Linked DNA regions of Arabidopsis thaliana. The protein of the gene in region 3 interacts with the protein of the main gene of each other region in a pairwise test. Each region holds a gene or a part of one and is shown on either strand. Other genes may lie near its edges. The genes, in order: AT5G25490, TOR1 and AT5G02530.

Region 1 (8,551 bases), 8.3 Mb from region 3:
AAAAAGCCCGAGCATCACCAGAGTGTTTCTGAAGGCCTAACCAAAAAAAAACTGTTAGTATCCAAAAGCAAGTCATGTTGATAGTAAAGAAAACAACAGTGAAATGAATCACCTTGTCTAGTATAAGGTTGACAAGGAGGAGAAAGAAGCCAAGCATCTGCATTATACTTATCTAAATCAGCAGCAGTGAGACTCTGAATATTCCCCTATGAAAAACAACCAAAACAATAAGAACTAATCATGGACTAAGTCACAGAACTAGCATCATCTATGATTTGCAAATGTAACAATGCTTCTATTGATTATATCATATATAAGCATTAAGCAACCTGATAGGGACGATGTTTGAAATTATGTTGATAAACATCATTAGCAGAATCATTGATCTCAAAAGCTTCTACTACTTCTGAGACGATGCCTGACGCCATTAAAGAGTATCTCTAAGAGCAAAAAGGAATTAGGGTTTATGAGACAGAGTAGACTTCACTAAAAACATAGAATTGGAGGTGAAGGAGACTGTTACCATTCCACCGATTCCACTGTAGAACTCGAGAACTTGCCATGGCTTCTTCTCATTGATTCTCTGTAATTCTTGTTCCGCCATGCTTCTTCTTCTGCTGCTGCTTAAGCAAAATTAATTTGGGAGTTTTTGGTTATTGTTCTTATTCGTTTGGGTAAATTAAACCGTTTTTTTATATTGTTCTGTTTAGTAATAGAACCATACCACGCTTGTTCGGTTTATTGTTAGAACCATGTTTTTTGTTTTTTGTCGTTTTTCTTTATTAATTAGCAAGAAAACCCTCAAACTAGCCAATATGTTTCAAAATAACCCTCAACTTACAAAAAATAAAAAACAATCCTTAACCAATTTTTGTTTTTTTTTTCGTTAACCAATTTTAGTTACCACTGTTTTATATATTAAGGTTAAGGATATGTTATTTTGGGGAATTACATGGCATATCAAACACTTTGCTTTTTAGTATGTGTGAAAGTATGTTGTGGGTTTTTTATGTCTAATCTTTCATTTCATGGGGATATAAAATTAGCTAACAATCAACAAATTAACAAACAAACAAAAAAGACTCTAGCTAACATTGATCTAGGCTGAATCTTTGGACCTTCTAGTGTTCTTCATGTTCATACTATATGAACTTTGATTCCACGTAGGTTTGTTTGGATGGTTTTAGTGAGATTGAAAAGGATTGATAGAAATATTTTATAAGTAATTCATAGTTAGAGTGAGGTACAAAGTTGATTTACAATAAAATTGAGAAAGACCCAAACTACAATCTAGAAATTTAGGAATTGATTTTTTTATTTCGATACGCGAACACGGAACCTACAAACACTATCTATTTGATCTCCATTCATATGCGAGGAATTAATTACTCTTGCATTATTGATCATATGTAAGTAGATAAATTAACTTTCTAAAAACATTTCGGTCGCCATCGTATTAGTTGAGATTTTTGATTACTACTTATGTAAGTGCGGATGAGGTAATAATAAAGTGCAGAAAGTAAAGAGATAAGAAATTTGTTAACGAGGTTCGGTTTTTCCTACTCCCCGGGACCACGTCCAGATTTCGATTTCACTAGAACAAGAAAGCAAATTACAATGAATTCGCAAACGCGTAAAACAAGCACACCCCTCTTGATTTACCGCTCCCTTCTATAAACGTGAAACCTTAAGGATAATCTCTACCCTTAACTAAACTCCCCTGAGTCTAGATTTAATCAGGATAACCTAACCCTGAGTTAAACTCCTTCTGAGCCTAGACTTCAATTCTCCAAGTCTCTGGAATAACCTTCACGCACCAACAAACAAGCTTGATCACACAAGCACCAAACCCGCGAAACTATGTCGCATAAAACCGTGAAACTATGTCGCACACACCCTTAGAAAGCTCTCAATGATTTGTCTTTATGTCTCAGCTCTCCTGCCTCTCCAAGACGTCCTACCTCCTCCTTATGTAGCCAAAACGATTTCCTAATCACCATAGGAGAAGATTTCCTTTTTCCATAAGAAAAAGTAAATTTACTCTTATCCTTTTTCTCATCAAACTCCACTTTCATCAAGTCTTCCAAATCTCTTTAAGTCCTTTTTCTTTTTTGATTCATCCTCTAAACACGCTCTTCTCAAATCTTCTAGAAACCGATACTCACACAAAACTGTCGCATCCTGAATTATTTCTTGAATCATTCAGCAATTTTATCAGATAAAATCATGTATTACTTCTTGTATCATTCAACACTTTCATCAGCAGCAGCTACATCTTCAACTTAGTCCTGTAATTTATTTTCTTAACATACAATTGAATTCAGCTAATCGTCCTTGCGAATGATCAAATGCATAGATAATTGTATCATCCTAAATAAAAGACGTGGGGAAATCATATGACATCTAGAACTTTGGAGAAGGGGGAGATAAGTGATGATGCATGGAAGCATTTCCCAAAGATAATCGAATAGATTCTCTCTTTTCTTTTGTGTTCGTCAGTTTTTCTTTACCATTCCCCGAGACAATATGGTGGGTTTATTAATTATTTTGATTCTTCTATAATTCTTCCCATTATTTTTATATATTCTTTTTAAGTTACCCATTCTTTTTTCTTCAATGTCGAGACGTCGAGTTAGTTAGCTTTTACGGCGACTTATGGATAAGGCATTACGCTCGGAGCCATGGACTGAGTTGGATAGATATAATGCGTATAATATTTAATCCCCATAACCTATATTTTAATTCCTATACATTGTAATGGTAGCATCTCAACTTTAAGGTTAGAGTTGGAACCTTAAAGTTTATGAATATTACAAAACACTTGTATGGGGGTGGAGTGCATGAAAATTAGAGCTGGGATGTATATATGGGAATATATATGCACTACATTATCTTACATTTTACATTGAAAAAATATTAGAAGATATTGTTCTTCATTTATTTAAGTATATTTTTACTGCTGGTGTATTCTACTGCCCTATATATATCTCGAAAGTTAAATAAATTCATATGTTATATAACTTTTAGTCATTCGTGGCATTCTTCTGTTACATCTTACTGTGGATTTTTCGTCTTATTATCTTATAGCTGACTCTTACTTTAGAGAGACAAGTATACCACAATGGAAAGGGTGATTTGACGGTAAAAAAAGCGATTGCAGTGTACCCACAAACGACAATTTATAATTTGTATGTGGGATATATAGTAAGGGAAATAAAAATCATAGGGTTAAATAGAAAAAGTGAATGAAACTGTCTTGTAGTTGTAGTAGACGAATCAAAAGGACACGTAGATGGTCAAGATACGAACCTCAAAGCCTTTTCCCTCCCATTTAATGATTCTTGTTTTTGTTTTAATCTATAATTTTTCATGATTTTCTTAAGTCTTTGTTTTGAAAATCACGAACGAATAAGTTCTGATGGATGTACTTGAATATTAGTAACAAGACTAATTGAATTAAAGAAAAGAGAAGTTATTCCTTTGACGTTTATAATTTTCCGCGGCTAAGGGAACATATACGTTCCTTGAAACTGTTGCCATGCAACTTTTGCTTTAACAGTTTAGAGAGTTTTTTACTTCATGCTACATCCTTTTTCTCCTGACACACACAAGAGCATATTATACATCCATGTACCTCCTCCATCGACCATCAATATATAGATACATGTGATTATTAATTATCTACATAAAAAGTTATACCACGAAGTTGCGATTGATAATATGAAAGTGGTACATGCTCGAAATAGATAATGAGAATATATCAGCTTTAGTTGTCTCATCGTTAGTCAATCTATATGTGCATATACAGTTAACAAGAAATCTATAAGCATATACGAACTGGGGTCCCAATAAGGTCTAAGAATCTTTTTTTTCTTTTTTTCTTTTCTTTGCTTTGCTTTAGTTTAGTTTGTGAAATTTAGTGAAAATTTCATTTTGTCTCATAGAGAAACCACATGTTAGTCAAAAATTATATAGTAAGTCCAAGAAAACTATATTAATATACCCATATTACCATATAGTCGGAGATTTCTAGTATCTCTAGTTTAGTTCTTCTTATTCATTATCAATTCAAGTGTTATAAAACCTCGAGACCAATAAAATAGGATTCACTCTCCTTCGTGCCCCCAAAGATATAGGTTTACATATCTATATTTCCACACCACCATTTTAAAAGCAAGAGTTAATTAAAGAGATATTTTTTAGTCATCTTGGTATGTAATCTGGTAAACTTTTTAGTTTGTTATCTTGTATAAACAACCAGTAAGATTTTGGTTCTTTTGTAAATACTTCTCTTTGAATTTAGGACTAGTGTTTTAAAATTACTTTCCTCCCATATTTTTGTTTTGATCTTTCAATTTAAATTAAAAGTTCGTTTACAACCCATGCATGCACACTTCCGAATTTAAACTCGGATTATAATTTGGCACTATAATAATCTATTAGAATACGTCTTGATTAATTTTAAAATATTTAGGTGTCTTAAAATAAGTACGTACGTTGATAAATATGGAGATATATACATCTGTCAAGTAAATGGTATTGAATTTGCCAGTATTAGCTTTTGTGAAGCTGACGCAAAATGAAAACGGCTGATATCTAAAGCTTTAACCTTGTGTTTCTTTTTTTTGTTTAAAATAGTGGGGTCTAGAAATGATAAATTAATTTAAAGTCCTCGATATATATAAATAGATAAATTTGTTTCTTTTGGGAATAACGTAGTTTACGGAGAAACCCAAATGTTAAAGGGAAATGCATTAAAGCTGTAGCAAAATAAGAAAGTAAAAACCAATTGAAACCCTAATTTCACTTCAAAAAATGTTCCCGGTTGTTAAAGGAAGGGCCTTTTGCTTTGTCCATATAAATATATTGTGAGAGTACAACAACACCTTCATAAGCTCTTACACTCATTTCAACTCTCTTTTTCGTTTCCATTACCCTCAGGTAATCATAACATATATATAAGTTACATTTGTAGATACATATGTCTTTAGTTTTGTGTAATTTGTTACTTAATTATTATTTTCTATGGTGTTGTAGAAGAAGATGAATAGGCCGGGAGATTGGAACTGCAGATTGTGTAGCCACCTCAACTTCCAGAGGAGGGATTCATGCCAACGTTGTAGAGAGCCTAGACCGGGCGGGATCAGTACCGATTTACTCAGCGGTTTTGGTGGCCGTCCGGTTAGTAGCTCCTTCGGTTTCAACACCGGGCCCGATGTGCGACCCGGGGATTGGTATTGCAACCTTGGGGATTGTGGGACACATAATTTTGCCAATAGGTCCAGTTGTTTCAAGTGTGGTGCCGCAAAAGATGAGTTTTCATGCTCAAGTGCTGCTGCAACAACCGGGTTTATGGACATGAATGTTGGTCCGAGACGTGGCCTTTTTGGTTTTGGCGGCAGCAGTAGTGGTGGTGGTGGTACGGGCCGTTCTCCTTGGAAATCTGGAGATTGGATTTGCCCAAGGTACTTTTTTGTTTGATTGTTTCTATGTATTGATGTTATTTTTTTGCAATAATATGTTTTGATGGTTAAAACTTAAAGCCAAAAAAGAAACATGCATGCTGGCTTACGTAAGCTAAACACGACCGTTTAAATTGTATTAATGTATATGCATATCGTAGAAACTGATTGGTTTAATTTGTATATTATAGGTCAGGCTGTAACGAACATAACTTCGCAAGCAGGTCAGAGTGTTTCAGGTGTAACGCACCAAAGGAACTTGCCACCGAACCACCCTATTAGTCATTTAGTCCTCCTACCTTCTTCATCATTTCCAAGTACTTTTCGTTTCAACAATAGTCTTAACTTCTGATCAGAAACAGTTCGACATATATATTTGGATGATAGAATTTGTTAACATTTACAACTTTATTATATCGTAAAAGTTTAAATAGTAGTGTGAAATACACTAACGATAGTACTTTAACGTTAACGTACGTATCTTTTTGATTATTTTTTTTAGTACTCTGGAAGCATTAGAGGAGAGCAGAAAGGTGAAGAATCGAAGCAAGATACCGACCGCCCTTAATCTCTTGATTTGTTTAATTTCTTAGATTTGACTCGTTTTATATCTCGTAGTAGTCAGACCTATGTTAGAATGTAAGCATGTCGAGAGTTTTCCGAAGCATTTTGTTCTGATATCGGTCTCCTAGCTAGTATGTAAGTTTGTTTGAATGTATTCTTATTTCTGATAAAGTTGTTTCCTTCTGATTCCGCAATCACGATTCTCATCTAAGTTTGAAACACTTGAGTTGTTGAACGTACGAGAGGCTGAGAGCTGTTGAGAACTTCTTCTGTGGCCGCAAATCCAAATTGCATGCAAATGTTATTATATATGCAATTAAAATTTTGTTATATAATTTGTAGTAGGAATGTAGTTTTACGTTAAACCAAACACAAACTCTAGTAACCGTTTGAAATGGGTAGATGCATGGACCACAACGAAACCTTTTGTCCAATGCCTCAAAAAAAAATATGCATGAGCATTCATATTATGATGTGGCTTGGTGATAATGAGCTTACCACCAAATCGAATGAAAATGTATGAGTTCCACTCTAAAATGAGAATAGTTATCAGAAAATATTAATTATGTTATATATCATTAATTAGTTTAGAATTCTAATTTATTTTCTTGGTAACATTAAGTTGCAAAATTAATTTTAATTAAATACAAATACGGATTTCACTATATATTAAATTGCGTATTCAAGGCCATCTTTTCGCACATACATTCGAGCAGTCGAACAAAACCCATAAGAAGATTTTTGCAATGAAGTTTTGTCATAAACAACAATATTGCAACTGATCGATGACCGTTTCCTTAATTGTTTGTAATGGGTGGTATACTTAAAAATTTGTTTTCAAAATGTAAGTAAGAAAGAAAAAAATCAGTAACGCATTTTTCATATTTACCATTCAACTTTTGATCCTGCTTATTTTTGTACTGTTTGTTCCGTCTCGCAGTACTAATTAGAACTACACTTTTTTTGGTCAAAACACTAACTACATTTTTTTTGCTTGATCTACTACTCAATATATTTTTGTTTTTATCGCTCGTTCTATACTGCCACGTACGATTGAGACTCTAAAATAGAGCAAGCGTACGTTGGTACGTGTCCACACACACGTTGCATTTTGCATAGGATTCCAATTTACTGAACTCATGGAAGTGTAGTTAAGATTATCATCAACGGGTCAAAAAAAAAAAAGACAACCAGTCTTTAATGTCTGCTACTATAATCCATTGCTTAGCTTTTATTTTTTCGTTAAAGGGTTGCACTAATTGGCTTTTTACTAAAGAATCTTTCGTTTTTCCCCCACTTTGAAGTCAATTCATCATTTGATTCTTCTTTGGTTTTAGTGAAGTGAAAGTACGTCTTAGGTATGATTATCATGCATGCATCATAGTGAACGTCTTCCCACTTTGAATTTCAAAACTATCAATTATTAGATTCGATTTAGATATGAATATATAATAATAGTATTTCAAAATGCATAAATTAGGTTGTGAATTGTAGACGATAAAATACAACCAGCTTAGTAATCTTCTTCTAATTATCAAATATATAGCATAATTCCTAAATCATATGTTTATTCTCATTAACTAACATAGTAGGTAATTCTGTTCATATGATTTAGCTAAATGCACGGTTTCATAATCACCTAAAGATCCATAAGCAATCATCAAATTACAATTAGTGTCAAACTAAGCACTACTTAAAATTCAGTGTTGGCGGAGAATAATATAAGACACATCTAATTACAATGGTAAGGATAGATGTGTGCAACAGTGCAAGTATATGTATAGCTTTAATCATAACTTATTAGTGTTTCTTTTAATGAGCAAATGAGAGAGACTTGTCGATGACCAATCTAAGTAAAGTGTACATCACTTGTTAAATAAACAAATATATTCTTACTGTTAAAGTCAATTTTTATAACAAAAGCAATAGCAAAGATAACTTTTTATCCATTTCAAAAACACCCTTACACAACGCTAATAAATTCTTAAATTTTGGGAAAAATTGCGGTAACTTTTATAAAAGTTTTAAAATTTATCTTTAACCCACATAAAAAAGCAAAGCATGTTCATCTTTCTAAGCCCTTTTTTTCTTAGCCCTTCTTTCTTTTGTTTCACATTTCCACATTCTTCCTAATAATTTCTATCTTTATGCAAAGCACACAATTGACATGGATGGAGCATATGCATATGTATTTGATGAAAACTTATTTTCTGGTACAGTATAATTCCACCAGAAAATTGAAGCCTCCACACGAATATTGTTTTTTTTTTTTTCTTTTTTTTTTACAAGATGTGATATACATAATGATTTAAATTTGATTGGTGACACGTTAACGACACTAAGACAGATTGTGAGTTTCCACGTGAGTTTGTTATCAAAGTATTTGTTTAACATTTGAGGACTCAAGATTCATATTCTAACATTATCAAATACTATTTTCTTACATAAAATGAAAATATCACCTATTGTTCAATTAGGAAAAAAAAATTGAAGGAAAAAGAAGATAATTTAAAATACTTTTAAGT
Region 2 (8,551 bases), on a different chromosome or scaffold from region 3:
ATATAACAGGAGAAAGAAGCTGGAGAAATCTGGGAAAAAAATACACAAAGTAACAGACATAAACCTATAGAAATCAACGGATTTGATCTTGCTCGTGGACACCATTTTCGTCGGAGAGGGAGTCAACTAAGAAACAACAGCTGCTTGGCTAAGTTCTAAAAGCTTCGAGGACGAAGCACCTCCCTTGTGATTTATCTTCAGCGTTCAGATTTGAAACTCCTCCCCAATCTACTAAATTACAACACTAGCCCCCTATGCTTTGACCCGTTTCCCATTTAACCCAAAATAGTTTCTATCAGAACAAATTAGTACAAACAATACACAAGTTTGAATTTACAATGATCACCATTAAAGAGCAGAGTTGTTTATAAATCATTCGATCAGAGTTGTTTTTTCTAAGCATTGGTGAAATTAAGATATGAAAGGGAAAACCAGCTAAGTCAAGAACAAAACAGTTCGAATTGCTTATAAGAACATCAAACGTTCCATAGAACATTTTTATTTATATGATACATTCATAACACTTATTCTCTTCTTAACCCTTTGATCCAAACTTTTGGATTCCCGACCATAAGCAAGGAGAACTAACAAACTACATAAAAGAAATAGCACTGTGTGAAAATGAAAGTAATCTACACTCTTTAAACTTCGAGATACTTGATTGCAGTCTGAACATCCTTGTCGCCTCTCCCACTGAAGTTTAATACCACTCTGGCTCCATCAGGTAACGTCGGACAAAGCTTCTCCAGATGGGCCAATGCGTGCGATGTCTCCAATGCCGGGATTATTCCCTCCAACCGAGACACTCTCTTGAAAGCTACACGCATAGATTAGAATACACAATGCAAGTTCTCATGAGTTGTGAAAGAAACATCTAAAAGGAGAAAAATGAAGTGTCAAGTAAGTACCTTCTAATGCTTCTTCATCAGTAACGCTAAAGTATTCAGCCCTTCCCACGTCTTTAAGGAAACTATGCTCAGGTCCGACTCCAGGGTAGTCCAATCTGATAACATCAACTTTTACTCTTTAGATACAGGTGACCAGATACATGTGGCTTAAAACCAACTTTGAACAGAGAAGAATCTCTTACCCGGCACTGATGGAGTGTGGTTCAATGATTTGGCCATCATCATCTTGCAGCAAGTAACTCATAGCTCCGTGGAGTACACCGACATCTCCTTTTGTCAATGTGGCAGCATGTTTGCCGCTGTCCAATCCAAATCCAGCGGCTTCCACACCAATCATTCGAACCTCTGTGTCATCGACAAATTCATGGAAGAGTCCCATAGCATTTGAACCACCACCGACACAAGCAACCAGAACATCAGGCTTCCCGCCCCATTTCTCCATCGCTTGTTTCCTTGTTTCTTTACCAATCACCGCGTGAAAGTCTCTGACCATCATAGGATAAGGATGAGGACCCGCAACGGATCCCAATATGTAATGTGTAGTCTCCACATTGGTCACCCAATCCCTTATAGCTTCAGAAGTTGCGTCCTTTAAAGTGGCTGTTCCAGAGTGGACTCCCCTTACCTACAAGCATCAGACTTAGATAACAATTTGAAAGCATTGCGATTTTGCAAGGTTTACGCAGAGAATTCACATCACCTCAGCACCGAGAAGACGCATTCTGAACACATTAAGAGCTTGTCTCTCCATGTCTTGAGCACCCATGTAGATAATGCACTGCAAACCGAAACGTGCACACACAGTAGCTGTGGCTACACCATGTTGACCAGCCCCTGTCTCAGCAATAATTCGTTTCTTTCCTAGACGCTTGGCGAGAAGAGCCTGAGCCACAGCGTTGTTGATCTTGTGAGCACCGGTGTGGTTCAAGTCTTCCCTTTTGAGGTATATGAGCGGCCCTTCACCGTTTTCACGGCGGTAATGCTCCGTGAGCCTCTCTGCAAAGTAAAGAGGACTTTCCCGACCAACGTAGTCTTTCAAGATCTCTGCTAATTCTCTCTACAGATTCATCAAACATTAGTTAGACATTGCCCAACAAACGAACTAACCAAAAAGACTTCTAACTTACATCACACAGAAGCATGTAATGCTGAAGAAACTAAGAATATGAAATGAATGTCGTTTCCAGATTTCTGGAAAAATACAACACTTTCCCAGAATTACATCCTACATCGCAAACAAATCGATTTGTCCCATACGGCTTAACATTGTTTGGCAGATTATTTTTTAGAATTGGAACAAAAAAATCCGTTTTTTAAACTTTATCACTAGCCATGGCAATGACAACGCTTGAATCAGAAACTCACAAAGCCAAATCATTTCGAATCGATTCAAAAACTATGAACAAGATGGAAACAAAATCAGCAGGCATACCTGGAAATCTTCGTCGGTGGCGAGCGAATAGAAAGCCGTTTCGAGTTCAGAGAGGGCGTGCATTAGAGTTTCGGGGACGTACTTGCCGCCAAACTTCCCGAAACGACCGAATGAATCAGGTCGTTGCCACATAGTCGGATCAGATCCAGCGGCCTTAATCTTCTCCGAGTCCGCCATGACAACAGCTGGGTCCTTAGCGATGGTGCAGGAGACGGAGAACGAAGAAGAGGACCGTGAGCGAGCCGATGGCAGAGGCGTAAATTTGGGGAGTTTGGAGGGTGATCTCAGATGGGTTAATTCGGAAGAAGCTGAAACGGAGGAGGGTCTGAAAGTAGCAGCGGTGCTTGCGGTGGCCATTTAGTGAATCTTTTATCTAGCTTTCAAACACGAAGACAAATGTTTTGCTGACAAAAACCTTGAAAGTGAGGGTTCTTTTTATAGATTCGTTATGTAACACTTAAGTTTTTTGACCAGAAATTCAATAAAATAGTGGAGGAAATCGGTAGTTCGGTACCACGTTAACTTATTTGTGAACAACAGAAAATGAGAGAAGAGTCAGAAGAGGTTGGTGAGAATAGGGCGGTGTACATTTTGGGGGTTGGAGTGTTTATCACATGCCTAATTTTAGTGTTATCTATTTTCTTTTGGTAAACGTCCTCTTTGGACAAAATGACGTATAGCAGTTTTTGCTAATATGATTCAAAGGCTTCTAATAGTGCTAATGAACGACGTACTACTACTCGTTTTGTTTTTGGTGGAGTTGATAAATAAAAGGATTACAAAGACATGTACTTATGGTTAAATTAATACAAATGAACTAACTATATAGTTTTAGTTTAATTTCATGATTTTTAAACGTTTTCCAAAACTTTATTAAGTTTCTTGTATTTTTTATTTTGTACTTAAAATAATAAAATGTGGTTGATCTTTTAATGACCAACATGCAAATAGTCAAAATGACACTAATCGATTACATATTCGAACCAAAAAAAATAAATATCAAATCGGTAAGGTTTGTCTCTTATCGATTTTACCGTCTTAACTTGTCATTTAGGCAGACCTTGTTGGTCCGATGAACCACCAGCCTCTGATCCATTTATGATTTACACACGTGCATTAAACACCAGACGAAGGCCTTTGAGTCGTTGAAGCTAAAAAATGAATGGTATATGCATGCGGACTCACTCGGAAGCCTCTCCAATGTGCATTGCTCGACTCTAACTCCAACAAAGTGTACGTAACGTAACAATCTTAACGACAACCTAAACAACTAATAGCAATCACAATTCCTTAAAGCATTCGTTAGTGTACCATGTAAAATTCCTTGAACCATTCATTATTGACTTATAGTACCATGTAAAAAATTCCTTAATCCATATATCAAGCCATGTTTTTGTACAAGAAACCAATTTGACATTTTGAATAATTAGATTCTTTATTTTTATTTTTTTTAACTTAAATTTTGAAATAAAAATTAACAATCCATAATGTAGAACGTGATGTCTCTAAATTTGATAATGTCCGAACTTATTTGCATGGATGTTTATATATTACACTAGAACTCGTATTATTGATTATTAATTTAAACGAAGTATCACGAATTTAAACTATATTTTCATACTTTGTCTTTCACACCCGATTTTCCGCGACAAATGCAAAATCCAGATACTGAAAATTATGCAATATTAAAATTTGAAAAAATTGAAAAAGTGAAATACTAATAAAATTGAGCGACACATTTCTGATTCCAGTCTTAACTGTTACACTTTCGAGTGTCAGATCTCGTCTTTCTTCTCCAACTCGTCTATCTTCTTCTCCGATTAATCTAATCTCTCGTCGGAGATTTAGAAATGAGCACACCTACAACTTCCGGTTCGGCGGCGAAACCGACGAGACCAGCACGGTCGTCGAGTTTAGCAACTAGGTCATGTTCCAATTCCGGTTCCCTCACTTCGTTCCAAGCAATGGTGGAGCTGAAGCAAAAGATCCTTACCTCAATCTCTAAGCTCGCCGATCGAGATACATACCAGATCGCCGTCGAGGATCTCGAGAAAACTATTCAATCTCTCACTCCCGAAACCCTACCGATGTTTCTCAATTGTCTCTACGATTCGTGCTCCGATCCGAAACCTGCAGTGAAGAAGGAGTGTCTCCATCTTCTCTCCTACGTTTGTAGTCTCCATTGCGATTCGACGGCTGCGCATCTCACTAAAATCATCGCTCAGATAGTTAAACGGTTGAAGGATTCTGATTCTGGAGTTAGGGATGCTTGTAGAGATACGATTGGTGCTTTGTCTGGGATTTATCTCAAGGGAAAAGAAGAGGGGACTAATACTGGTTCAGCGTCGTTAGCGGTGGGTTTGTTCGTTAAGCCATTGTTTGAGGCAATGGGAGAGCAGAACAAAGTGGTACAATCTGGAGCTTCAATGTGTATGGCTAGGATGGTTGAATCAGCTGCTAGTCCTCCAGTTACTTCTTTCCAAAAGCTTTGCCCTAGAATTTGCAAGCTATTGAGCAATTCCAGTTTCCTTGCTAAGGCTTCCCTTTTGCCAGTTGTTTCAAGTCTCTCTCAGGTTTGCCCAGAATCCTTATAATCTCCTCCTTGTCATGCTATAGACAGCAAATGGAAGAATATGGTGAATTTTGAATATCAGTGTCAGTAAGTAGAACACAAAGTTTTAGTAAATAACACTGCTTGAGGTTTTAGTCTTAATCCGACACTTTTTCTGTTAGGTGTTGCTGAAGTTTATTGTTTGATTTGAGCATACAAGTCTCAGTGAAATTTTGAGGGGTTTAATATCTCTCTCTCTCTTTACTTCTGGTAGTTCAATGCTAGTAGGTTTAGTGGTTAAATCTGTTTATGAAAAAGAGAAGTAAAGAGCAATTACTTTGATTCAGGTGGGAGCCATTGCACCTCAGAGCTTGGAGTCATTGCTAGAAAGCATCCATGATTGCCTTGGAAGTACAGATTGGGTAACACGAAAAGCTGCGGCTGAGACCCTGACTGCATTGGCATCACATTCAAGCGGTTTAATTAAGGAAAAAACCGATTCCACCATTACCGTGCTTGAGACCTGCCGGTTTGACAAGGTAGCTATCTTTTCTTTCTCTAATTAATCTAATTCCACTATTATCGTGTTTGAGACACGTCATTTTTTACAAGGTAGCTACATTTTTCTAGTAATCTAAAGTGGTCCTGTAGTGAAGTAAACGTAAACCCCATAAGCTCTTCAATTCCTTGTAAATGTCATCAGCAGCTCAGACATATCTGTTAGTGGTTGATAGTGCTTTTGGACCTTTCTCCTCATTTGCTATGCTGATGAAACGCACAAGCAAGTAGCTTGAAATTCTCACGAAGCCTTACCTTTTGATTTTTGACTACTATATGATTTACATATCTCAAGAATTTTCAGTCATCTATAATTTTTCTTTCACTACTGAGCATTGAAATGGCTGGATGTTTTATGAAATGGATTATGGCTCTCTACACATTCATCAAAATTCTATTACTTAGGACATGGAATGATCTTCTCAAGACACTTTACTGATGGAATTTTCTTGGACAGATCAAACCTGTTAGGGAAAGTGTGACAGAGGCGCTGCAGTTATGGAAGAAGATTTCTGGAAAATATGTCGATGGTGCTTCAGATGATTCAAAGCTTTCAGCTAGTGAGCAGCTTGGATCAGAGAAGAACGGGGAGAAAAGGTCTAATCTAGCTGATCTAATGAAAAAGGAGGCATCCGATGGTTCCACTCTCTCACCAGACTCTGCTTCTAAAGGAAAAGGATGTTTTCCTGAAAAAGCAGTAGGACTGTTGAAGAAGAAAGCACCTGTCTTAAGTGATAAAGATTTTAATCCTGAGTTTTTCCAAAGACTAGAAAGAAGGCAATCCGTGGAAGTAGTAGTTCCTCGTAGATGTAAAAACAATGATGAGGAAGAATCAGGACTCGATGATCTCAATGCCATGGGATCTTCAAATCGCCTCAAGAACACCCAAGCAGATGATAAACAGGTAAAAGGTAGGTTTGATGGGAACGGATCACAAGCAAGGACATCTGGTGATGATAAGGCTGGTGTTGTAAACGGAAAAGAGACACCTGGACATCACGCTCCTGTCTCCAATACTGATAACCAATCTGAAGGATCCTTCACAAGTAATAGAGGAAATTGGTCAGCCATCCAGAGGCAGTTGTTGCAGCTAGAGAGACAACAAACAAATCTTATGAACATGCTCCAAGAGTTTATTGGTGGCTCACATGACAGTATGGTGACCTTGGAGGGCAGAGTAAGGGGTTTAGAAAGGATTGTTGAAGACATGGCAAGAGATCTTTCGATATCATCAGGTCGTAGGGCTAATCTCACAGCTGGGTTTGGCAAATATAATAGTTTTGCTAACTATCCAACTGGAAAGTATAATGGTCGAGCTCCAGGGGAAAGAGGCTCACAAACAGATGGAGCTATGAGGGGGAGAATGTGGAATTCTGACATGGCAGATGACTGGTTCATACCTCCACATGCTGCTTCCAGAAACGGACAAGCCGGGCCAAGAAGATCACCTCGGTCAGAACAATATGAGAATGAGCACATGGGTAATGGCAGGAGAGGGTGGGATAATAAAGCATCTGGAACTATTAGATTTGGTGAAGGCCCTTCAGCAAGAAGTGTGTGGCAAGCATCAAAGGATGAAGCTACACTTGAAGCTATTAGAGTAGCCGGCGAGGATGGTGCAGTCCCTCGTCCAACCCGAGTGGCTGTTGCCCCTGAAGCTGAAGCCATGGGAGATGATGATAACGAAGGGCAGGAACGTGACCCGATATGGGTTTCATGGAGTAATGCAATGCACTCACTCCGTGTTGGTGACATTGATGCTGCTTACGCAGAAGTCCTCTGTGCTGGTGACCAGCACTTGGTCATCAAGCTGATGGACAAGACGGGACCTTCTCTTGACCAGATGTCGAATGAGATTGCCAATGAAGCTCTAAACTTCATCTCTCAGTTTCTGCTGGATCATAGTCTCTACGACATTTGCTTATCTTGGAGTCAACAGGTACATCTCTTACAGTACATTACTGGGTTCCAAGAATCACACATATGTTTTGTCTTTAACCTCTCTTTCTCTCTTTTTGCCATTCCATTTGCAGCTGTTGGAATTGGTTTTACAAGACGGTGCAGACACGTTTGGAGTTCCAATGGAACTGAAGACAGAGATCTTGTACAACTTACAAGACGCATGTTCGACTATGGATCCACCTGAAGACTGGGAAGGTCCTGCGCCGGAACAGCTCGTGGTGCAGTTGGCATCAGTTTGGGAAATCGATCTCCAACAGTTCGACAAGTAAACATGAGCTTGTGAACGGAGCTTTAACTTCAGTACCGTTGTTGTTCATAATTTTCGTACAGACAGGATTCAACATCTAGACTCTAGAGTCTAGAGTTTGATTTTTCTTATTAAAAACCCGTAAAAGATGACTGGAATTGATCAAATATTGCTATGTATTTGAGTTTTACAATATTTTGTCATTCTTCCTTTTGCTTAATTGAAAAAGCCGGAACTTTGAAGAACAAATAAATAAGACAGAAATTATTTTAAGAATATCATTAATAAATCCCTAATTTTATAACAGACTTTTAAAATAAAGTTTTTTGTTTTTGTTTTGGCCAGACAAAATTAATTAATTTATAATATGATACGAGTTTGAGACAATTATCCATTTAACTTTTTTTTTTTGGTAATCATTGATCCATGTAAATTTTAATGTTTTTATTTTTGTCAAATTGGAATTCTCGACATAGAAAACAGAAACAATTACAAATAGTTTTTGAATGTACACAATTTGCATGAGAAAAAAATCAAGAAATTACCTAAAAATAATAGTGTGTATATAAATAATCTTACTTGGTTTTGAGTTCAATCATCTAGATATGTAATTTTGTGAGATGCCAATACATTCATATATATAAATACGCATTTTCTTATCTTATACACACTACTCTAAGGCAAATAGCCAAATACCATCCACGCCAATTGATACATTCAATAGTTTTATATGTCATTGGTGTATATAGAAAAAAAAAATGTCATTTGTGTATATCAAAGCTTTATCTAAATGAAATATTTTCCTTAAAAACTGTATAATATATTAAAAGATTTTATTAATTCGACCATGATTTCAGTATTGTATAAATAAGTTAGGTTTTTTTCCCAACAAT
Region 3 (8,551 bases):
TCTAACTATCTCTCGATCTCTATTTGCTTATTCGTCAAAAGACTTACAACTCTGTTTCTTGATCTCCCATGGAGGCTATATGAGACATTGGTGATGGAGAACTAGACTCTCAAGTCATCTATTCTTCAACTATGACACAATCTATTACCAAACATTTCCGATCTTAATTACTTAAAACACACACAACCAACTTTACTCTTGTCGGTTCTTGTTTGTAGCTCTTAGGTTAGAGACACTGATCATCCAAGGAATAATCAAGTGATGAACAACCCTTCTTTTTATTGTCCATACTATGAAAAGATTGACGCGGTTACATATTCACTCGATAAAATATTTAAGCATACAACAATGCATCTCATGAGTTACCATACGATAATGTGGAAAGAAACATCACAATCTCTACTTGTTCTTACTTTTTTTTCACTCTTTAGGTAACATTCAACAAGAACACCGTAGAGATTCAAGTGGTGTCATCGAAACCGAGGTAGTTCTTTTTAGAAACCGAGTTAATGAGCTTAACACTGAAATCCCAGAGTTTCTGTGCCAAAGTCTCATCTCTAGCAAGTTTGCTTGGAGTGACTTCGTTGCAATCAGCAAAGTACTTTCCTGTTACTCCCTTCACACTTGGATGCAGAGCAACATAACATGTTGTTGCTGCTCCCTGACAACATCACAAGAAGCATCAAAATATTGTTCTTAGATTTGTCTTTATTTAGTAACATAGTCATAGAGTAAGATCTTGAATTTGGCTTAGTCTTAGGATTCTATCTACTAGTATAGTACCTGAGGTATATTTTTCCACAAGTAGAAGCTGAAGAACTTCAGGAACCCTGCCAAAAACGGAATTAAAAGGAATGATTTGAAGAGAAACAGAGAAACTAAGAAAATGATGTGAAATCTTACTCATTAAAAGAGCAGTGTGTTGGAAGAGATTGGTGAGAATAAGACCAGGGTGAACTGAATTTGCTGTTATGTTTACTCCTTCTTCCTACCAAACAATGTCCCCAAAAAGATTTTGAGTTTTTATTTTCTCAAGTGTTTATAAATTTGAGATAGTACTAACACTTTGAAATATCATATATGTGTTTGTGTTTGTCAGTGTGTGTGAAGGCGACCTGAAGCTGACGGGAGAGCTCATTAGCATGCAATATATTGGCTAGTTTCGATTGTCCGTAAGCTCGCTTATCCGAGTAACTGAGAGAAAGAAAAAACATGGTTACAAGATCAAGATTTATTTAGTTTTGAAACAAGTCAAAAACTGTAGAATTTACCTGCAAATGTCATTGATGCTGTCGAATTGGATTCCTTCTTGGTAAGTATAGATATGAGCTACAGATGATACATTCAAAATTCTTCCTTCAACACCACTGGTTTTAGCTGTGTTCTTCATTGTGTCCAAGAGCAAGTTTGTCAACAGAAAGTGACCTATACAGTATAATTCAAGAATTAAAAATTTCAATATTTTCAGGTTTAATTTCTGAAACCAAGTTTCTTTAACTTTTTTATAAATATAGGATTTACCAATGTGATTTGTAGCAAACTGCAATTCGATTCCATCTTCAGAGAGTTGGTATGGACAGAACATTACTCCTGCATTGTTTCTGCAAAATCCATTTTGTGTACAATTGTTATAATTATTAATTAAAAGTATGCACTTTTTTTTTTCACCCAAAAAAATAAAATAAAAACAGATAACATTTATTTTTCTTGCTACACACATCTACAAATCTAGTGATACGTGTGTAGAGATTTGGTAGTAATAAATGATACCACATTGGAAAATGTAAAGTAACATTGATGTTGTCAAAACAAGAAGAAAGAAGTCAAATGTTTAGAGCGAAAAAATAATGTCATTGTCACAGCATTAAACATCAAAAAAGAAAAAGCTGCATAAATAATTATTGGGTGTCGTTGTTTATTACCTAACTAACGTAAATAGTAGTACTACACAATAACAGAGGAATGGTAACCAAAACAGTGTTAATTAACGTTGTTAATGTGGAAACCATTCAAAGCCTGTAATTGTCATAAGAATCAATAATCCAAACGCTAAAAAAGGCGGTGCAAACGCTTTAAACTGAATGAGAGAAAGAGAGAATGTGTACATGAGGAGATTGAGAGGAAGATGGAGGGCATGAAATTCACGAACAAAGGCTTTGATGGATTTGATGGAAGAGAGATCTAATTGAAGAAGAGTGACACGTGCGTTTGCGTTTTGTCTGAGAATCTCTGTTTTGGCGTTTTCTGCAGCTCCCATGTTTCGGGCACCGATCACCACATGAGCACCTCTCTTCGACAGCACTCTCGCTGTCTCCATCCCTATTCCTCCTGTCCCTCCTTATTACAATAATAATAAATCACATACCAAGTTTTGTTAGCAATAAATAATTAAAACATGTTCAAAAACGTAGCGATGTAATTTTTTTGTAAATGTATGCATATGCATATGTGAACCTGTGATAATTGCAGTGAGATTAGTTGCATCAATCCCTTGAGTAACCTCTTCAGCTGTTGAAGCTGAACCAAATCCACTTGGTCCTCTTCTTCCTGTGATTAGTGAATATAATCCCATTTTTAATAGATTGACCTCAAGAAACAATGTAGAAGAGAGAGAGCGAGAGAGACAAGAGAGGAAGAAGAAGATAGGTTTGGGAGAATAAAATGGTACTATGAGAGAATCATATATATAAGTGGCAAAGAGTCATTAATGCTTATTTTTGGTACCTTCTAGTTTCATGGACCTTATTGTGTGAATTTATCCATGAATTATAAATACACATTAAACCCATCCCCACCAATATTGAATATAGATATGTACAGTATGTATATTAGTTTTTTCTTGTGACGGTCGATTCTCGATAGTGCATGCATTCGAAATCTAATTAAGAAAAAGTTCGTATTTTTCTTCGATATAGAAAATAAACTCGCTGTTGTCAACTTAAGCATGTCTATTTCTAAATAAGTTGTTGTTAAGGTCTCTAAACTTTTAAGTCCTTTTTCTCTAAAAAAACCCTTCTAATATTGGTTCTAAATTGCCGACAATGGCGAGTGTTTTCCCTCTCTTATTATTCGAAAATGTTACTATACCATAAAAGTTTATTAATCTTTACATAATTTACACATTACTTTCCCCTTTTCAAAACGAACAAAATAAATCGTTTGCTATCAAACATGTTAATGTACGTTGGTAGTAATGTCCCCTCCTTTTTTAGGGGTATTTAATGTCCTCTCGTTTTTCGAAGATTAAAACAAAAGAATATGATTTGTGTGTATAGAAAAATGAACATAATCTAAGTAAACGTTACATTTGGGGATTGATGATTAATCCCAATTTTTGTTTTTTTTTATAAAAAAACACTGAAAGGTATTAAGGTGCTCTAAGCTATTGAAAAACAAAATGTTGAATAAAAATATAGGGATGACCAAATTATTAATGAAAGGTTGGTGAGAAGCCGTTGGTTACTATACTGAGTTTTCAGCTACTTGACATCCTCCTTTCTTCACATGTTTCCAGTGAATGTGTTACCACTTACCCAAATCCCTCCTAATTTAGGGGCGAGTTTCATTTAATTAACCATCTAATTAGTTTCATTTTTTCCCCAAAACTTAGGGAGGTTATTATGCAACTAAACCGATGACTATAGTCTAAACCAACAAAATCAAAGTGGTGTGGGTTTGTTTCTTTCATGTAGAGACGAAAATACTTGACTTTGTCATCCATATTCAAACCTGCATTGGATGTTCTTGATAGAAAATAAAGAAGAAAACCTAACATAACTAAACAAGGTCTCGTACAAATTTTAAACAACTGAAGAGCATAAATCTTATACTAAAGAAAATCATTAAAACTCTACTCAAGAATACTTCATCGGTCGTTTACAGAGTTTTTGACCGGCAGATAAAGAAAGATATATACTTATTTGGATAAAGAAACAATACAGAATGTATAAAATTAATTCATAGCCCGTGCTCATAGATATCGATGTTCCTTTCACATCCCGTTTCCAAGTTCAGAGAATCCAACTACGAGATTTGGATCTTTCTTTTTTTTGCCTTGCAAAATTGATTGCTGAGAGAGCCTCATAATGACATTGTTAGGTGGTAGATTTACACAAAGGTACACACACACACCACTATCGAGATTAATGCCATATTTATTATTGTTATTATTGTTTCAACATACTAATTCGTGATTTAAACAATCAAAACCTATAATGCTTTATGATGTAAAACTGATAGTTGAACAAACTTGTCGTGGTAGCTGAGAGTATATTCTTTTCAAAGCTGAACTTATATTTAGCGATTATTTTGTTTGTTTAGTACTCTATAACCGGTTAACATTATTTTGTTTGGCATGCAACGAAACAAATCTAAATAGAATGGACCAACCTACATTTGTAACTGCTTCAGTAAAAAAAAAAAAAAAAAAAAGAAGAAACAGAAGAGATTATATTGCTAGATCTAGCACCTATATATTAGGATAGTCGAATTATGTAAGTAGAATAATGAAGGCATTTACTCTATCTATCATGTTTTTAGCGGCGACTGGCACATGACATCCGGCTCATTGGCTCATTTGTATGGGGAAGTGATGTGACCATGTGAGACTATAACGTCTAACGATATTGACTATTTATTTCCTTATATTATATTACTGCCAAAAAAGGCAGCTCAAAAAATACTATTGTGCAACGGTTATTATTCCATGGATCAAAGATATCAATAATTTTTTGTTAACCACATTTTGTTTTTATCAACATATTTAAATATTTTGTATAGTAATTAATGTGTCATCATTTGAATACAAATCTGTATATCATATAATAAAAAAGTCCACTTAACCATTAAAAATTTCATAATTCGTCTAGAATTCTACATAAAATCTTCTGGTCAGGTTATAAAGATGTCTTTAACACTCATGGTACAAGTAATTTGTTAAATAGCAAGGCAAGATTTGTTTTCCAAATTGAGATAAACAAAGAAAAAAAAGGGTTGACTTACTAATATTAATACGTGAATGTGTATGTACGTTGTGATACAGTCACATACTGTGCCCATACAGGCAATGCGTGTGCTTCACATGTACTTGTCCACATCTTTGATTATGACAATGGCCGGAGGGAAAAAAATATAATAAGTTGAAGTGGACAATGAGGATGGGCCACTGGATTTTTATGAGTCCAAAAGGCCCATTAAGAACTCAGGGGTCTATTTAGTAAAACGTAAGAGTTTAAGGGCAACAAAACAATATTGATTAAAGCTGAGGTGTTTATCGTAATTCTCCGAGAAGATAATATCTGTTTCTCTCTCTCTCACTCTCGCGGTGCGTAATTCCATCTTTGAAATCTCAGAGCAACAAAACCCTAGCTACATTTCTCGATATCGGAGAAAAGATCCGGCGAAGATGTCAGGTGGCTTAGATATGTCACTTGATGATATCATCAAATCTAATCGAAAACCTACTGGATCTCGCGGCCGAGGAGGCATTGGAGGTGGCAATAACACCGGTGGTCGCGGTGGTTCCGGTTCTAATTCCGGTCCGTCTCGTCGGTTTGCTAACCGCGTAGGAGCCAGAACGGCGCCGTATTCAAGGGTCAGCCCATTGATTTTATATCTCTCCCTTTACCTTCTCTTCCTTCAAGAATCAGAGAATTCCTTTTAGGGTTTTTGTGAAATCAAAAAAAGCTGAGATCTGTTTTCGTTTCTTCTTTGACGAATAAAACAGCCGATTCAACAACAACAAGCTCATGATGCGATGTGGCAAAACGACGTCTTCGCGACTGATGCGTCTGTGGCGGCGGCTTTTGGGCATCATCAGACTGCTGTTGTTGGTGGTGGCTCGTCTATCGAGACTGGAACTAAGCTTTACATTTCAAACTTAGACTATGGTGTCTCCAACGAAGATATCAAGGTTTGTGCTTTAGAAGTTTATTATAGTTCCAGTCTTACTTATGAGAAAAATTGTGGTTTTGTTTCTGATCTTGAGATGGTTTTGCTTGTAGGAGCTTTTCTCTGAGGTTGGTGATCTTAAGCGATATGGGATTCACTATGATAGGAGTGGAAGATCAAAGGTACTTACTTGATAAGCTTTATTGTGCTTCAGAGATTTGTTTATTGAATCGTCTTGTCATGATTAAACTTAATGATGCTTTCAGGGGACTGCTGAAGTTGTTTTCTCGAGGCGTGGGGATGCATTGGCAGCTGTCAAGCGTTACAACAATGTTCAGTTGGATGGAAAACTGATGAAGATAGAGATTGTTGGGACTAATCTTTCTGCTCCAGCTCTTCCCATTCTTGCTACAGCTCAGATTCCTTTTCCTACTAATGGGATACTTGGCAACTTTAATGAGAACTTTAATGGCAATTTCAATGGCAACTTCAATGGAAACTTCAGGTTTGTCTTGTTTCCACACTTTGTTCAATATGGAAACTTCATAGTATCATTTGCTAGGGTCTATCAATCTATTGCTAAGTCAGTTAGTATCTTGATGAAATACTTATGTTTTGTTCTTCTGTTAAGATGGCCTATGTTTTGTTCTTGAGTTAGTATATTGACGAAATGCTTTTTTGGTTAGGCCAAGTATATCCTGATAGGTAGATTACACGAACCTTGTACTCCTATTAAATATTTTGGATAACCTGTTATGCCACAGAGGCAGAGGAAGAGGCGGTTTTATGGGGCGTCCTCGTGGTGGTGGTTTTGGCGGTGGTAATTTCAGAGGTGGCAGGGGAGCTAGAGGACGTGGTGGTCGTGGCAGTGGTGGAAGAGGACGTGATGAAAACGTATCTGCAGAGGATCTTGATGCTGAATTGGACAAGTACCACAAAGAGGCAATGGAAACAAGTTAGAAAGGGGAGATTAAACCTATTGCATGTCTACATGTATTCCTTCCTTTAGTGCCGATATGCTTTTGTATTAGTATGATCTTTAGATTGAATGTCAATGGGTCTGACATTTTCGAGCTTTAGCTTTTGTTTTTTCTTCTCTTGGTGAGCTTCTTAGCTTTTTGCAGTTGAGTTCAGAGAAACAAGCATTGTGTGTACCGTGGAACTCAAAACTCTTCTAAAATATCAATTCAAAACACAATTCTATCTACTCTCTTACTACGTATACTTTGTCGTTTCAAACTTTTGAGCTTGAAGCAAACGAGATCCACTATGAATTTACTTTGTAAAAAAAATAAAGGAAGCTAGTAATACTAAAATATTAAGAGAGTTTCACGACCAACAAAATGATTACAGACAGGGTCAGAGACCATAACAAACCTACTTATTAATTATGATTACAGGGTCAGAGACCATAATAAACCTACTTATTAATTACGAAAGTTTGAAATAGTTTATTTGATTTTCAAGTTTCTTCGCTTTCGAGAATCCGATCCTTTTCCTATCAAGAAGAAGAAAGAAAAAAACAACAAATATTGTATTATATAGTGAAAGCCGTTTTCATCAAAAAACAGCTTTAAAGAACTAACCTTTAGATGGAGCGGAGTTAGTCTCACTACCATCCTTTACTTGGATAAGGTTCCGATCCTGCAAACCCAGACAATGTTAAAGACTCTGTTCCCATGGTTGGTCTAGTGTTAAGGAAATCAAATCACAAACCATATCATAAACAGGAATTTGGTTACGCCAAAACTCTAGTGATGACACAAGCACCCTTCCTGCAAAACATTAAACAAAATTCTTTTTTTAACTAATGCTTTCAACAGAGCCCTTTGGAAGTGAAGATTTTCTACTCTCTATTAACCTGATCTTGACCGTTTCTGTCCCAATGAATCAGTAGACGCCGCATTGGTCTTCTGCTGCTTCACTTTTTTTTCCGGTGTTACCTTTGAATTACATAACAACAAGAGCATTAACACTCAAACAGGAATATCAGAGGATAACCATGTAAGTGGTGGCATAAGGGGAAGTGGTTACCTCCACATCAAAGTCGATTTTCCTCTTTATTTTTTCCCATGACAAGTTTTCTTCAGCTTCTTCAGCTTCAGACCTGAAATGATTCATAGGCTCTACAACATTGCTGTTACTTTGAAGGGTCTTCTCACTTTTCTTTGATTTTCCTTTCGACAGGGGATCTTGAAATGCCTTCGATACCTTCACTCTACCTTTTCGCTGTACTGACGTCAGTGATTCTTTAGTAGCATTCTTACTTGTTAATCTTTCAACATCTGTACCAGAAAGCCTTTTACCAAATCCCTTCACTGGTGATATCACTTCATTATTGATAGCCACACATACATCTTTTTCTACGTCATTGCTCTTAGCATTATTTAAACCTTCCTTACTATGTTCTGCAACATTACTAGTCGGACTCTGGAGTTTACTCGCATCGATTTTCCTTTTGTTTTCCGCACTTTTGACTTTCGTCCCAGAGTAATTCATGGGATCTACTACATTGTCGTCACTTCTGAGGATCTTGCCACTTTTCTTGGATATTCCTTTCTTTTCAGGTTTGCTACTCTTGGCTAAGTCTTTAAGCAGGGAATGTGGAGATGCTGTTGTTACAAGTAAACCATTTTGCTGTTCCGAAGTAAGTGATTCTCCA

Evidence for each region.
Region 1: the proteins of AT5G02530 (region 3) and AT5G25490 interact in a two-hybrid assay, tested with the Arabidopsis thaliana proteins (one large-scale study listed by BioGRID).
Region 2: the proteins of AT5G02530 (region 3) and TOR1 interact in a two-hybrid assay, tested with the Arabidopsis thaliana proteins (one large-scale study listed by BioGRID).

The regions. Positions count from the first base shown.
Region 1 is NC_003076.8:8,871,596-8,880,146, forward strand, and holds AT5G25490 (Ran BP2/NZF zinc finger-like superfamily protein), read left to right. Parts: upstream 1-4,725; 5' UTR 4,726-4,941; intron 4,942-5,037; 5' UTR 5,038-5,043; coding exon 5,044-5,465; intron 5,466-5,653; coding exon 5,654-5,744; 3' UTR 5,745-5,779; exon of another isoform or gene 5,780-5,964; 3' UTR 5,965-6,309; downstream 6,310-8,551. Other genes in the region: DNMT2 (DNA methyltransferase-2), read right to left, coding at 1-36, 113-206, 330-440, 524-604.
Region 2 is NC_003075.7:13,580,710-13,589,260, reverse strand, and holds TOR1 (ARM repeat superfamily protein), read left to right. Parts: upstream 1-4,010; 5' UTR 4,011-4,190; coding exon 4,191-4,913; intron 4,914-5,238; coding exon 5,239-5,430; intron 5,431-5,906; coding exon 5,907-7,388; intron 7,389-7,482; coding exon 7,483-7,680; 3' UTR 7,681-7,975; downstream 7,976-8,551. Other genes in the region: PDIL5-4 (PDI-like 5-4), read right to left, coding at 65-105; TSB2 (tryptophan synthase beta-subunit 2), read right to left, coding at 642-817, 909-1,003, 1,091-1,533, 1,609-1,965, 2,341-2,697. UniProt on the Arabidopsis thaliana protein: Plant-specific microtubule-associated protein (MAP) that regulates the orientation of cortical microtubules and the direction of organ growth. Determines microtubule organization by modulating microtubule severing.
Region 3 is NC_003076.8:562,630-571,180, reverse strand, and holds AT5G02530 (RNA-binding (RRM/RBD/RNP motifs) family protein), read left to right. Parts: upstream 1-5,255; 5' UTR 5,256-5,404; coding exon 5,405-5,593; intron 5,594-5,725; coding exon 5,726-5,911; intron 5,912-6,002; coding exon 6,003-6,071; intron 6,072-6,155; coding exon 6,156-6,394; exon of another isoform or gene 6,395-6,653; coding exon 6,654-6,849; 3' UTR 6,850-7,096; downstream 7,097-8,551. Other genes in the region: AT5G02540 (NAD(P)-binding Rossmann-fold superfamily protein), read right to left, coding at 461-661, 784-830, 904-988, 1,116-1,194, 1,272-1,425, 1,522-1,601, 2,106-2,337, 2,455-2,572; AT5G02520 (dentin sialophosphoprotein-like protein), read right to left, coding at 7,341-7,387, 7,476-7,533, 7,606-7,664, 7,751-7,832, 7,924-8,551. UniProt on the Arabidopsis thaliana protein: Export adapter involved in nuclear export of spliced and unspliced mRNA.